Linked DNA regions of Arabidopsis thaliana. The protein of the gene in region 2 interacts with the protein of the main gene of each other region in a pairwise test. Each region holds a gene or a part of one and is shown on either strand. Other genes may lie near its edges.

Region 1 (9,568 bases), on a different chromosome or scaffold from region 2:
TGGAAGGTCTAAATTCGAGAGGAACATTCCAAGCAGCATTCACATCATCATCATCTGACCATTTCAGGTCAACATTCTCAACGCGAAACCCGTTCACATGCTCCATAATGATTCCAGACGTGGCTCTATGGTTCACTAGACCTTGACATCCAGGTCTATAGTCCACAAGCCCTGCACTGTAATTACTCCATCTTCTGAAAGTAAGGTTCATGTTCTTGAACTTTATATCTGAGAGTAGTCCGTTTGGTGAACCTGATAAAAAGACTCCGTTTTCGGAATCGATTGTTATGTTTACGAATAGGAGATTCGAGATTGAGCCTTCCTTTGCAGATGAGTCACGAGGGCAAGTTGTTATATAGATTGGTTCTGCTCTTCCCCACCAAGAAGGATCGTAGTATCTTGTACTAATGTTTATGTTTGAAAATGTAACGTCACTCACATTTCCTGCACATATTCGGGTTACATTACATAAGTTTCTGTGTTGTATGCAGCCAAAGAAAAGAAGAAACTTGTTTACCTCCATCGCGTATTTGCATGCCAAGTCCTCTGTGAGATTCAAAAATAGTGATGTTATCAAAGACAAGACCTTTGAAATCAAACCAGCTCGCACTACCGAGTTTAATGGCTGAGGATTTGGTCCGGATCCAACAGTCTGTAGCGGTTAAGTTGTAAAGTGGACCAGTGTAAGTCTTGGGACAGATTGCATCATCTCCAGTATCGATATGACACCGAGTTATAACAGTGTTGTTGGAATCTTCAATGTCGATTCCATCGTTATTTGGAGTATTGAAGTCCCCAAGGATCGATACATCATGGACTGATGTGTTCTCACATCTCACAATGTGCAAACTGCAATGAGAGTGTGTATATAATCAAATCAGAGATTACTTAGCACAGAAGCCTAAATTCTCAGCTAGAGTTACTTTATCTTCGATCTAAGATAGTGAAACAAAGTCAAATTTGTTCATAGAGTTCTTTGTGAAAAGCAGAAGTTTCAAAACTAACCACCAATACGCAGGCTCTCGTAGTGTGATGTTCCAGATCTCAACGTTTATAGAATCAACGAATCCAACAAGCCTGGGTCTACACTCATCACCCAAGCAAGCTCCGGTTTGGTTCCAGCTCACCATCACGTTCTTCTTCTCGTCGAATCTGACCACGAACTTCGATCCTTGGCCATCAATCGCTCCTCCGCCAGTGATTCCAACATCCGTAGCGTTATTCGCCACCACCACGTACCAATCCGACGAAGTCTCCGCCGGATAATAATCCTCGATTCTCGGTCCACCGAGAAGCACGGCGTTCTCCGTCACATCGAGAATGACGCCAGATCGGAGATGGAGCTTAGCGGTCAAATAGTTGCCGGAAGGGAAAACGACGCGGCAGATGGAAGAAAAAGATGTGTAGTGACGATTGCAGGCGTCAATGGTTGACTGAATCGCAGAAGTATCGTAGTTGATACCATCGCCGGTAGCACCGAAATCGGTAACGGAGAGGGTCAGAGAATCGCCGGGAAGTTGAATTTTTGAATATGACGTGTCTGAACGTGATTGGACCAGAGAAAAGAATAATAGTAACAATAATATGCTTCCCATCATTTTTTTTTAAAGGTCTTAATAATAATCTTATCCTATGTCTATGTGTGTAGACTTTATTGGAATTGATAAACAACTGAAACTAGAATTCCAGATCTCTTCTATGAGGATCGTAGTGTCTTTACCGAATCCTGGATAGTTTGATGCAGAATAATAAGCTATGAGAGAGTTTGTAAAAACAAAAACAATTAATTAGGCACAATAATAGTGAAATAATACTACAAAAACATCAAAAATTTAAGTAAACATATATGAGCAAATTGATTAAGCAAATTGATTAAGCAAAAGAATTAAAAAGTGAAACTTTCTCTCGTGTAGATTTCGTCTAAGGCGGTTAATTTGTTGAATCTTAGGCTGAGGAAGAGATCGATACCATCTAGTGGCGGGATTGATGATACACATCAATCTTTCTATACGGTAGACGCAAACAAGGCCATCACAGCTTCCGGTAACGTGCTTTGCACTCATATTTATGATTGCATCTCTGTTCTTATCGAATGAGTCAATTTAGGGTTTTTTGTTACCTAACCTAAACCATAATTCAAGAGGTGCATTTTCACTTGGTCCAGCTCAAACAATCTAAACATATAGTTGCATTTTGTTTTTGCTTCTTCTTTTTCGTGCAACTCCAATATCCAAAGGATGCCCCTGCTTCTTCTTTCTGTTTTTGTTTATCGATACTGATTTATTTCCCTAAATAGAATTTTTTTATCTCTATTTATTATTAGTAAGATATATATAACGAGATCAAAATGATCATATCCTACTAAATTCTACATTGTCGAAATCTGGTACAAGAATAAGAAACAATCATACCAGTGTTGTCTCTCTGAATCAAATGACTGATACCTTCTTAACAGATATCTATATTTATGATTATATTTATATAGAGAGAAACGAGCTTATACGATGTATATACACATTCATGATCTCTACCGTTTTCCCAACTTACAGCTCCATTTTGACCTGATTTGGGTGCAAATTAGCAGAAGCCACCATTACATTTTCAGAAACTGCCATCAAATTGCTGTTATCATTGCCATGAGCTTGATCCTCTTCTCTTCCCCATACCGGCTGGTTCAAGCCGTCAAAAGGCCATTGTTGTGTTGGTGGTTGTTGCAGTTGCCGGTGATGAAAGGACTGTTCGGTCTCAATGGCTTGCTGAGGCCAAGCAAGCTGCATTGGTGCGGCATTGAAGCTCCCATCCATTAAAGAACCGTTCTGTCAAAGAAAAAAACACAGAGCCAAAACCGGAAAAGATATCAGCAAAGGGATCATTCATAGAGATCTTGATCTAGTCAAAGAAGTCAACTGTTGTTGCTGTGTTATTATTATCCTAAAAGAACAAGGTTTGATGAGAGGGTCCCTGGCTATTTAATGGTGGTACAAGCTGTAAGAAGAAAGAGAGAGGGAGCATTTATTTAGTTTGGTCCAAAACTTTTGATGAGAATCCACAGGTGATCATGAAATTAGATAGGTCACTTTGAAATAACAAGATTTTGGAAGAGACCCACAGAAATTATTGAGGGATGAATTAACTTTTTTTTTAAAAGGTTCATCAAGTAACACATCCGACATAAGTCACAGAAGACACAGAAAGGTTTTACAGAACAAAGGTGGTCCGAGTTTTGACCCACTACTGTTATTTGCATTGGGTGTGTGTGTGTGTTGTGTATTTATTTTTCCCTGAGTTTCCTTCATGAGAGTAGACGTTGTGATCTTCCTATGCCTTACACTAAAATGGTCTAAATTAATGTTTGTATCAATAAATACCCCAAAAGTTTCTCCTTTTGTGATAGAAACTAGAAGCTACTCAAAGAGGTATGGTTAACTTAAATGAGAAACACATGAAATGGTTAAATTTTTCCTAGAGAAGACTAATCAGAATGACCAAATTATTGTTTGAGATTTTGATACTTACTTCTGAAGCCAATATGGTGTCGAGATTGAAGTCGATTCTGGGGTTTACCGCAGCAAGTCTCATTGATAGCATCTGTGGAAACACAAGTCACAGTTTCATGAGATTGCGGCACATAATTCTATTCATTTTCAAATTGTTTTGAGTTGACCCTTTTATTGTGCCCAGGGCTATTGTAAAATATAGGTATAAAGAACAAAAATTGGACCACGGAAAGTCTCACCTCCACTTGACGTTGTAATGACTGGACATGGTTAATGATTTCATCCAGCACCAGCGCGGTACCTTGAATCTGCAGGTCAAAGACTTTCTGATAAGCTCGGATTCATATTAGGTAGATCTGCTTTCACATACCAAAAATTCTTTCTAGACAGCTAACTATTGTTAAGATGATCCAATATTTCAACGAGAAAATACCAAGATTCCAAAATACACAGTGAAAAAAGCAGCAAGAGAATGACGTGCTAATCTAAAGCTATTATAATAAATGGTATCTACTACAATCACAAGTAATCAGTATACCCTAGGGGGGCTAAAGGAACAATCAATCAAGTCCTCACAGCTCACCTATAGAATCCAAATTTTAAACAAACACTGATGTTCCATATCATCATCTCTATCACACCAATAATTGCTGCTAACTTCTAACATCAGGGATGATTAATTAGCTGTCTGGGGGAGTGTCACATCATGTTTCCAACTAATTAGGTATGTGGGACTCAAAGCATATCAATTTTTGTAAAGGATCATTTGCTTTAATCGTCCTTCTAAGAGTCATTTTCTATTTTTCCTTGATAGATACCGAACTTGTTAGAGACGATACTACCCCTTCCTCACCTTCCATAGAAAGATTGCAACTTTTTTCCCACTTATCATCAAAAGATGGACCCCAAAACACACTTTGATCTTGATCTTTCCACCAAAATCTGTCCCCTAAACCCAAAACCTTAATGGCATATTACAGCTAGCACACTTCCTAAGGTCATTCTCGTCATTTATAGACTAATCTTCAAGCTCAACGAACACACTTATGGAAAAAGAATTCGATAAAGCAAGGTCCTATCACTTCCGTGTGACTGAGTTAACCTTAAAGCTAAGTGTGTACCCGTGAGATATTTCTCCCCACACGAAATAAAAAAATAAAGTTGAGATCTCTAAAGGCATTACTACACAATTACCCAACTGGCTACTTTGGCACACCAGGAACCACTTTTCTTAATAAAAAAGCAATTAAGCAATCCACTTTTTAGGAAGAAAAAAAAAAGTAGGTGTGAAGGATTAAGACCCTTAACAAAAAGACTAGATCATCTAATAATAAATTCTTACTTTTGGAGTGAATCAATTAGAGAAATATAATGTCGTTAATCACAAATGAAGACCTAATGATTGATTAACAAATTGATTACACGTCTATATCTAAGAGACAAACCTTATCACAGCCTGGGACCAGTTCCTGTAACAGCTTCATTCGTGCATTTATCTTCTCTCTTCTTGCCTATAATCCAAAAATTAGTGATCAATTAGCGAATTAATCAACTGATTAATACCAAAAAAAAGAAAAATTAGTGAAGGCAGATGCAAGTTACTCGTTCTGCTAAGCTATGGCTATCGGTTGCTTGACCACGACGAGCTCTAACGTGAACATATGGCAGCTTCTCGTTCTCTTCAGAGCTTTTGTTCTTCTTCGTCGAGCTTTTACCCTATAAAAAATCAATCTGATGAAACGAAGGATCAAATGTAAAAAAGTAAAAACATTTGTCTCTCACTCTAACCTTCTTTTCGAAATCTTTCCTCTTCCCATTTCGATTGTTCTGGTTAGGGCAAGGGATTTGATTCTCAATCGCTGAATCAGAAATCAACCGCTGAGATGAATCGGTCTCAGCAGGCTCCGTCTTGACTCTGTCGAGATTAGCACTTGAATTGGAAGGTACAGAGCTCGTCGGAGTCTCCCCGGAGATATTTCCGTTTTGTTGCTCAGTGGCAATCACCGAGAAACGAGCTGCTCGCTCCATGAGAACTGAGTTAGAAGGAAAAGCCAATGTCCCACCGAAAGAGTGAAGCGGCGGAGGAATCTCTCCACCGATCCCTGTCACTGCCGCTTGTTGAGAAGACGAAGAATCAGTGAAATGGAGAAGCTCCACTGCTTGTGTAGGTGGAAGCTCAAGCAAAGCCGTGAACGAACCGCCGGGGTTCTCGGGAGGTAAAGTCGTCACTAGTTGCCGAAATTCGTCACCGAGATGTAGCGATTCAAGGCCTATTGGTTCCCGGCACGGTCCAACACCGCCGGATCTAGCTCCAAATCCTCCAGTCAGATCCATAAACGGAAACTCACTGGAAATCTTCGAAAACAATAACACCAATAATCGAAACCAAATTCAGCAATTTGTGTAATCAAATCTCACGACAACAAAACCCTAATTGAGCCTCCAAAGAGAGCGAGAGAGAGACTTGAGTAGAAGACTTTTGTCAGTAAGCGAGTAAAATGCGGCGAAAAATAGAAAGGAGAGAAGGTGGGCAACAATGGCGGTCTGAAGAAATCCCTCCTTCTTCTATAGCTCAGAGAACTTGGCGAAGAAGGAATAGTTATTCTCTCTTCTTCTTCGTCTTCTTTCTCAAATGTGTGTGGAAGAAAAGCTTTTACACCAGAAGAAGAGTAGGACGAAAGCAACGTTAGCAGTGGAGTGCGTCTGTTAAATAAAGGCCACTGTTAGACAAAAGAAAGAGAAAACCAATTTTGGTTATTGTAGGTACGGTACGGTTCTTTTGTTATATATTTTGCTGGATCCCAATGGATATTACTTGGGCCTTTTGGGCTTTAACCGGTGACTTTTTATCTCTGATTATAAACTTTTTTTATCACTCCTTAATTTTGTAATTAGTAAATTTTTGAAGTATTTTGATACTATAATATAAAAATGATTTGAATAGGGCGTACCAGAAAACGGCACATATTTATTTAATCGAATCGGTAGATTAGATTTATTCTTCAGCAGGACCAGCCTGCTGTCTCTGACCACTTTTCTTTTTTTCTCGGTATAATAATTGGATTTTCGTATAGTATTATTATCAGTAGTTAATGCCATAAATGGTGTTACATCAGGTTTTCTGACTTTCCACGGACTCCGATTCCGGTGTCAAATTATTTTGTTGACCTGTAAATAACCAAGAACCAAAAACACTTTTTAATATGGAAAAATAATTGAGCTCAAAACACCATTTTAGTAATTATCTCAGCCGTTGGATGAAATCTACCAAGCGTAATATTAATTTTTTAAAAATATTTTATTTTTTTTATTTTTTAAAAATATTCAAAATTCATCAAGTATTAAAAACTTTAGAGTATAAAAGGCAAAAATAAAATAAAAATTGAGACGTACTAATAATATTAATTCAAAATATCTTATAAATTTATTAAAAGGAAAAAAAAAAACAATTAATGTTACTTCTTTAAAAGGGTGTTTTGGGGATAGAGAGGAAAATTTGAGGACAAAGATGAACAGATGGGTCCAGTGGAATAACCTGTTTCACACAATGGGCCGAACAGGAAATCCACTTATGCTCTAATAATCTGAGCCCAAATCCCAATTTCCATTTCATTGCAACAAATCATCGTTGCTTGATTATTTTGATTAGCCAATTTCTTCTTCATGTAAGTAAATCTCAAAACTGAAATTTAGTAAAAAGGTGTAGAAGTGGAATATAAATGTGCTAAAATATCGGTTTCACTTTCAGCGATTGGTGATGTAAGGTTTGGTGTAGTAGTAAAGTCTCAATCAAAGAGAGGAAAGGTACAATCTTTTTTTGGCATTTCCAATTTGGCAACGTTACTTACTCTCCCAACGTCCATTACTTCTTTGGTGTCTCAGATATTGATGTGGCCAATTCTTTAACCAACCTAATTCCTACGTACATATGTGTTACTCTTTCACATATATACACTTTATTCTAAATATAAAGATTTTGAAGCTATACGGCTCTTTTCTGTTTTTATTCAATTAGATGTCAAAATGAGTATGAAACATGCAAAGTCTTTATCAATAAGAAACATTCTAATTATGCAAAGTCTTTGCCATTATAAACGCAGTTCAATTTTAGATGATTTATCTTTATAAAATTTGTTCCCGAGCACAGTCTCGAACTCATATGAGACTAAAGTTTTTAATATTCACACATAAAACCTTTATAAAAAATTAAAGAGATATATTTTCTTTTATTGCTGAGAAAGCTGTGAGGATTATCTTCACAATACTTACGGCATCTCCAACACATCTCTATTTTTGTCTCTACACTCTATTTTTGCTTTTATTACACTCCAACTCATCTCTATTCTCACTTCCATTATAGAGATCTCTATTTTTTTCTCTATATATAGAAACAAAAATATGGATCTCTATTTTTTTCCCCTATTTTTCTTTCTAACAAATAGAGATTTCTATTTTTGAAGAATTATTGGAGTAAAAATAGAAATCTCTATTTTCTCTTCTATATTTACAAAAAAAAAATAGAGACAACCATTGCAGATGGTCTTATTAACGTATCACATTGGGATCATGATGGATTTAAAAGGATAGATATGGGCGAGACCACAAAGATTTTTCGGATGTATACGTGAAGCATGAAAAAAAAAAATGTGCGATGAATAAAGAAATATGTTTAGAAAATATTATAGATAATTCGTTTATATATGAGTGGGTCTGGATCCGCGTGTTAATCACGTGACACTGGCCCAAGAAGCCTCTCTTCGTAGTGGAGTGGTGTGGGAATTCCCTTCTTCCCATATTAAAATGTTTCGATGAATAAATGAATAGCTCTCTCTAACCTTCTTCTTTTTGTGTTTTAATGAAAATGTTTTATTTTTCTATGTAGCTTGCATTATTCGACAGCTGTTACAAACCTGACATGCATGGGATCCACACAACAACACACATATCTCTTTATATGAGTTATTCCCATTTCCCAAATTGCTGAGCAAACGACATCCGTAAGCAGAGTTAAGACTATTGAAAAGTGCATAACAATTATGGTTGTCAAAACGTTGTTTGTAAGTTGGTTTAGCTAATAATCATTATAAAGGTAGATTGTCAATGGAAATATAGTTGTAAAAGCATTTAATATCAAACCCCCAAAAGGAAGAAGCAATGTATCACAAACGATTCAATATCTTAGGTGAATTTTGCTAACTTCGACTAATTTTATGTAGAGTACGAATGTCCACAAGCAATTGTCTATGTAATGCAATTGTTCCACGTTATATGAAGCATTGCTCGTTTCTATCGTCAACTATAACATTTTTATTTTCATCAAAAGATTGTTTGGATTATTTAGTCGTATAATATTTTGAAACATATCAAACATCATGAATGCACTTCACCTCCCAAAATAAGAAGTCTAAGTCCAGTGCTAAATTTGGTTAGCGTCGTAATGATTATAAATCGTCAATAACATTGAACTGTCCAAGTGTATATATATATATATACTTAAATGATTACGAAGGAGACGTCTCTAAATTTTCTACGTTATACGTTTACACGTATAGAATTCGTCGTACATTTAAATACACGTACATGTATATACATATTTGGCACAATGATCGATACTGATACAGTGTTGTGTAATAGTAAATAGTAAATACGTTATAGGTAATGAGTGATGCAAGTCGAAACACTTCTATCGATCATTGTTCACATGTTAGTTTCGTTGGATTCAACCGATTTTCTTATAATTCATTATATATACATTCAACTTAAAGAATGAAATTCTACTTTCAAATGCATTAATTGTAAGATAGCATTAATTTGCTCATTTGCAAAGATACTTTGTTATATGTGTCTGATTAAAAAAAAAACGAATTGATGTCAGAAATGAGTGCCACAAAATCTGAACACAAAGAAATACAACAAATCGTCATTGTTTGTACCTTAATGGTTTGTTTAAGATCCATTGTAAAACAATACCTCATCGTAACAATGTGATCATATAACATTATAAGTTGATGCGTAGACATGGATTAGAAATAAGAGTCTCGCATACACACACAATGAAAGAAAAATTAAAA
Region 2 (6,941 bases):
ATGTTATGCACTAATGAATCTTGTTTTAGCATGTTTCACATTGATTGTTCGGGTTGTTACCATTTTAAATAATGATATGTTTCAATTCACAATTTCATATAGATGACTTATGTACGCAACTATGCATTTTCATATTTTATTCTTAAAAAAGTATCGGTTCGTAGTAAAGTCTGAATTAAGTTTTTTACTTTTGTCCTTGGAAGAGTACGGAAGAAGACACTAATCTACCCTTGATTTAAGGAGACAAACATATCATTAAAAGGAGATTATGTTTATTGATTTTAGATTATACCCTAAACATTATCCAATTAAAATAAAAACAGTTACTTTAATTGACTTTTAGGCTGTATCGGTCGTAGACTCGTAGATAGCAGTAGATACCATGAAACTGAAGCTAATCCACTCACCATTCCGTCGGTTCTTCTACCTTTTTAACTTCAAATTATTTCACATGGCCTACACATAGACTATAGTATACATTTATCTAAGACCATGCGTTATATGATTATGATAAGAATGGAGCTCGTAAATAGTATATCAGATAAAGTTGAATGAAAAAAATAGTTGATCGGTAAAATAATATTATACTTGATTAATTGAAACATATATTGAGGATAAGCTAGAGTTACCATTTCCTATAACTATTCTACTTAGATTAGTACTCTTCGTATGAATCATATGTTACATTTTATATACACTTTGATAAAACTATTTGTTTTACATATAATTCTGTTTTGCATCAATGGACTCTCACTATTGCATCTTGTGAACTCGTCTGTTTTATTCCCCATGATGAGTGATGAAACCATCAGCCACGCCACCAATGATCTCAAACATTATTTTTATATTATAGTTACATCTGTCAACACTCAACAGTAACATCAATGTATTGTTCTGCAATGTCATCTCACATATCTTTTGCAAATTCAAAAAGTACGAGATATCTCTCTGTAGATCAAGACCATTTGGTGTTCTTTGATTCAAGACACTAGAAACAATTTGATTGTACTATAAATCCTCAATTTTTGGAAGTTTATCAACTGTTAGGACAATCGACCTGTCAGTAAATCTGAATTTCTTATATGATAGTAAATGATTTTAAAACATATCACAGCCGTCAATCAGAGAGACTGTGAGAGTCACCGTTGAAAATCACTCTTTGGTGAGTGAAAAAATGTAAAAGTAAAAGAACCAATGGGTAAGGGTCCCTCCACGTGTGCACATGCGCTTCGGTGGACGCGTGCATGCAAGAGTGTTGCCACATTAACGACGTCGTAGAATGTGATTAAGGGCACAAAACATTTTAATCAAAGAAAATTTGACTGATGGTGACGACAATGAGATGGTGGGCGTGTAGAGTTCGGAGAATGATTGTTGAGATTCCCGTAAATTACGGAGGTCCATTGGAAAACAAATCCCCGCACCAGAAGATCCATGTTCGATGTATTTTGTTGGAGAAAAAAAGCTAATTTTAATATCAAAAATATTTCTCTTTCGATAGTTGTATATATTTATCGAACATCAACTTTTATATTCATGTACATCTATCAATATCATTTTTTCGTTTTCTGAATTAAATTGACCAATATAAATGAATTATTATTGTTTCTTTTTCCTTTTTATCAACAATTATTATTGTTTCTTTTTTTCTTTTTCAAAACCAGGCTTTCCCAAAGTTTGCGGATCGCCACGTTTTAACCACTAACACCATATTGATGTTATTTGTTGTATGTGTATAAAAAAAGTTATGGCACAGTTAATGTGTTGACCATGCTTTTCATATTTGATACCTAGTTGTGAATGTATCACTGTGAAGCATCAAAAAGAAGATGAAATAATGCACCGTATAACCAAGGTGTGCACTGTGCAATGCAATGCATCATAAATTTCTCAAATTCTGTTTTTTGTATGTAAATTATTGACGTATAATGGTAAATATGATTAATAGATTCACTCATTGTTCGACAATAATCAAACTGAATATTGCTCGATAATAACTGAACATATTACATTAACAAATTACGCACTCACAATCGTCAGAACCAGCCATTATTCTCAGCTATACATTCTATATCATTTGTTATCTTTTTATAACCTTAGGTGATTTAGGTGATCCAGGTCACGGTAAGTATATATAGATTATAAACTTTTATGGAAGACTGATGACTCAATCTACAACATTGGAGAACCACAACTTTTTAATCTATACTTTACGTTCTTTAACATTTAAATTTCAAAACTGAGATGGACTTTTTTAGTTATTATATATGTTCTAACTAAGTAATGACACCAATTCAAAGATAATCTAGATTATTTAGCGTGCTTATATAGGCCTTTATTTGCTTGGCGACAGCGCTGACTGATAAGGTTGTCAGATAGAGAATTACATGTTAAATCAAATATGTGAACATACATTACATACATATATATACGAGTGATGAGATCATTATATATCACGGATTCACGGAGTGTGAAAAAAAAAACCAAATGAAGCTACGCAGTTGACAGAAAACAAACGAAAGATACACAAAAAATGTTTTTTTTTTCATAAAATCCTCATAATTGCAAAACTTAAAACATCAAAACGTATATATATCATCACAAATTTTCGGCGGAAACAAATAATAATGGACAAAAGTTTCCTAAATTATAGGGTAATACAAAAGGGTACGTGGGCCATTCGTAGCATGTGCATGCATGTGCTTCTCCTATCTCCTATTGCCCCCACCATTTTCCCTCTCCTTTTGAAACAATTAAAATGGACCCTTTCCTTCTCCTTTCTCTCTCCCTTACCTCTCTGTCTCTTTCCCTCTCTCTCGTCGAATTCACGAATTCGTGAGGTGACCGCAGATTTGTTCTTAGCAATCTTTGACGACACTAGAAGTAAACAAATTCTTAAAAAGGTATGTGTTCATGTCTCTTCTGGTTATAATAAGGAACCCTAAACGGGGAAAAAATCCAGTTTGGTTATGATTTGATGTATATTAGTATATTACATACATGTATCCCTTTGATGTATAAAGACATCATGGTTTATTACTTAGGATTAACTTACTTTTTCTTGAAAAATGACTCATAATTGAGTATATTTCTACTTGATTAGGATTTAGGATGCAGCCTACGAGCTCAATGAATGAAGAATTCCTAAAGAAATGGCAAATGGGTCTTCAAATATTCCGTCCTTCGATAGACAACACGAGCGTCCACGAGAGAAAAAAAGCAATAAAGCTCTCTGCAGACGTTGCAATGGCGTCTCTAAGAAAAGGAACAACTTGTTGGAGCCGAGCCCTAATCGAGAAAACCGCCACCGAGGACAATTTCCTCGTACGTCAGATGCTTTCCGGCATCAAAGCGGAAACGTTAATCAACAAGAAGTTGCCTAAGAAGACTGTGTGTCATAGGAAGATCGTGAGGCGAAGCAAGAAGATCTTGAGGAGGAAATCGAAATCAGCGAGCGAAGAGGCTGCAGCAAAAGCTAAGAGACTCGTCAAGAGACGGACTCAAGGATTAAGAAACGTTGTACCTGGTGGTGAGTTGATGAGCAATGACGTCTTGTTGCTTCAAGAAACGTTAGATTACATTGTGTCGCTTCAAACGCAAGTAAATGTTATGAGAAGTATTGTTGATGCTGCCGAGGCCGAAATTGAGAGATAAATGATAAAAAAAAATCTTGTTTTATTTTTTTATCTGCGGAGATTAGTTGCGAAAGCATGATGTCGATCGGATCTTGTTGTTGGTCATTAGAACCGTATGTTATTCGGACAATGCAATTGTCATACGAGGATGGAGAGATATTATAGTAAGCCATTTTGTACATAAGGAAATTTATACAATGCTTATAGAAAGTTTCTGCTACGTGATGGTGGTTTTTATTGGAACATTTCTTGGCAAATTTTTATTTTTTTTGAATTTAATTTAGTTAATGTGAGTGAATTTTAAGATATTTTTAACGCTTCGATTGCTTTTCTTGGCATGTTTTTATTTGAGAGAAAAAAATAGACAAATGTTATTTTATATTATAGATATCTGGTTCAGTTTTATTACAACTCACTCGTATTGGATAGCTCATTTGACATGTCAACCCAAAACAAATGATATATACTAGCTCATGTGAGTTTTTTTTCTGTTTTTTTTTTTCAGATTTTCAATGTTAATTAGCTCATATGAGTTGTCCAATATATATTTGACTCTTTGCTTATGTTTTTTTTTGGGTTAAAGACTTGGTTTGAAAGGATAGTACTAGTCTACTAGAACAAAACAACCAATAAGACAGCACGTGTAAAAATCAGTCTTTTTCGTATATACTCCATGTTTCATCAATCAGCATCATTTAGTATTCAGCTAAGGAAGAAGACGCTTAATGGCAACGAGGAAAAAAAAAACGTACATATTCACGTTCATTTTTTTCCTAGCTAAATTAATTAACACCGTTCAAAGATATATTATTTTGTCTCATGAAAGCTATGCCTCCCACCGATGGTATTTATCCATTTATATGTGCATCTATGTACATATGATTAATGATTCTCACTTCTCAGTTAGATCTGCATTCATTTTTGTTTGAACAAATTCTTATTAAAAAAAAAATCTTATTTGCCACGTACTTTATATGTTAGATCATGTAACAAAGGGGTATTTTCGATTTTTTCTGTATGTGGTCTAAACTGCAAGTTCTATTGACAACAACCCCAATGGTTTTTCTGTAACAGCTAACTTGCCAACATTTTCTTTGGAGATTATTAGAAGGAAAAAAACGAAAAAAAAATACCAATATAATATTACACATTTTGAGAAACTTGTTTATGTTCTGTTAGGCCCAGCCCAGTTTGTTATTAATTGGACTCGTAAATGGTTTGTTTAATAACAGTTGGACTCTTGTTAACCAGTCAAATGTCCACACAAACTAAAGGGAAAGAACTCAAGAAGTGAATGAAAGAGAGACAACACGGCGTTGCCCTTTATTTTATCTTAAAACGACATGTAGTCTTCCCTTATTAATGTCTTGACTCTTGAGAAATTGTGAGTTTGACTTATGTGACTTTATTTTTGGCTGTAGAATTGTCGAGGAGCAAGGAAATTATTAAGTAGAAGCGACTTATAATTTTAAAGGTTAGTCAAACATTAGGATTTAGGAGAAAGTTGTCTCAAACTATTTGTGGAACTTAACCCTTTTTCAAAAAAAATCATTTGGGGAACTATCTAAGAATTTTAAAGTCAAACAGAAATTGAATGTTATAGCTTACAAGAAATCATGTCATATTCTCATACATATTAAAGGAGTGTTACAAAAAAGGTTTATTTTCATTTTAAAATCCAAACTCTTATGCAATAATGCAAATGCACCATTTATACATAGAAATAAACGGCTTTGAGTATACGATAATTCTAGCATATGGTCCAAGCTAGAATCAAGAATCACTTTCACAAAAAAATTGTATACCACTATAACCGATAGAGACACCCTATGTGGTAAAAATTTCGTATTATCTTTTAGTGTATATTTTCTTTGATTTTTGACCTATTCCTATAGGGATGAATAAACTTTTGGTCGCAAAATTGGGATGAATTAACTTTGCACATAAACCAATGTTATTAACGTTATAAAATTACATGTAAGTTGTCACGCAATAAAGACTAAGTGACTAGTGGGCATGTAATCCAACTGCTTCCATGCCCGTTATTAATTCACCCATTAATGCAAAACTTTAGCCATTCAACATTTAAATACATACATACATGTATACAACATATCGCACAAGAATCAAGATGTCACTCTTTTGTCGTAAGAAGAATTGCCTCAATTCAATGCAACTGTCTTACCACCACACCTACTTCTTATCTAATGCTCCAGAAAACAGAAATTAAGGAAAAAAAACATATAAACAAAGATTCATAGAATAATGGTTTGTATCTCAACTGCAAATTATATGATTCATTATCTTATTGTTAAAAAGAAAATTCATATTAGACACAACAAATTGTATGACTAACAGTTCCGCTAAACATATGTAGTATTGATAGCCAACTTTAGTCTGAACTTTAACCTAACAACATCAAGTTCAGGATTTTAATTTATCTGAAGAAATTTGCGATAACTACTCACCGGTTAAGCATTTTTACGGTTTCTTCAACAATCTTTAGCTTTCACATGACCAAACAAGAATCATGCGGTTTTGAATCTTTGACAATTTTATTCCTTGAACTTACTTATTCATGATATTTAATTGAGTCGTTTTCTTGTTAGATGGAAAGCTTCAATCGACAATTTAATTGTTGGGTCTAATATTCAAGAACTGAAAAAGATTTGTCAAAAATAATACAAGACGCACCAAATGTTCTCAATCTATGTCTAAAAATATATGTATCTCAACACCACGTTTCTACAATGATTCATATATCTTTTTGCACTTATGAGGACTAACACAAAGAAACAATTGAACAGAAAACTAAATTTGAAAATGGAAAAATTATAGTAACTAGACATTAGTTGAAGAAGAAGAATGAACAACCTTGTTTTGTCTCCCTGCAAGCCAAAGCATAGTCCTCCTAGCAAAAGATGGTGTTTTAGTCTCCAAAGACTCCGAGTTTTCGCACTTTTGATTATCTTCTTCGCAACCACTTTCGATCATCGCATCGGGATGGTTCCGCTGGTTCGATAACCTGAAAGAGAATGCTCTTCCCGAAGACGAAGAAACCAATGAACTATCCTCTTTTCCTTGAACTTTACTATGCTTCTCCTTCTTCCCCCTTAGCCATATTTTCGATACCGAAAAGCTCTCTCTTTCCACTACATTCTTCTCGGCCGCTTCTTCCACTATCCTCATCGATCCACTCCCACTGAATTTCAATCTCCCTGTTGGATCAAACCCGCATTCGGACATCGCTGTCCTATGACCGGGCAAGCCACGGTTCTTGCTTGATTGTTTCTTGGTTGAAACATG

The links. The genes of interacting proteins can lie anywhere in the genome.
Region 1: the proteins of AT4G30410 (region 2) and AT3G57800 interact in binary tests that used the Arabidopsis thaliana proteins (3 or more experiments, as listed by UniProt).

What each region holds. Positions count from the first base shown.
Region 1 is NC_003074.8:21,405,491-21,415,058, forward strand, and holds AT3G57800 (basic helix-loop-helix (bHLH) DNA-binding superfamily protein), read right to left. Parts: upstream 6,123-9,568; 5' UTR 5,832-6,122; coding exon 5,286-5,831; intron 5,214-5,285; coding exon 5,100-5,213; intron 5,009-5,099; coding exon 4,943-5,008; intron 4,447-4,942; coding exon 4,351-4,446; intron 4,081-4,350; coding exon 4,036-4,080; intron 3,806-4,035; coding exon 3,737-3,805; intron 3,589-3,736; coding exon 3,517-3,588; intron 3,106-3,516; exon of another isoform or gene 2,911-3,105; intron 2,817-2,910; coding exon 2,544-2,816; 3' UTR 2,299-2,543; downstream 1-2,298. Other genes in the region: AT3G57790 (Pectin lyase-like superfamily protein), read right to left, coding at 1-444, 518-849, 1,006-1,598.
Region 2 is NC_003075.7:14,868,022-14,874,962, reverse strand, and holds AT4G30410 (sequence-specific DNA binding transcription factor), read left to right. Parts: upstream 1-2,695; 5' UTR 2,696-3,111; coding exon 3,112-3,654; 3' UTR 3,655-3,979; downstream 3,980-6,941. Other genes in the region: AT4G30400 (RING/U-box superfamily protein), read right to left, coding at 6,477-6,941. UniProt on the Arabidopsis thaliana protein: Functions redundandly with IBH1/BHLH158 in a regulation node known as the incoherent feed-forward loop (FFL).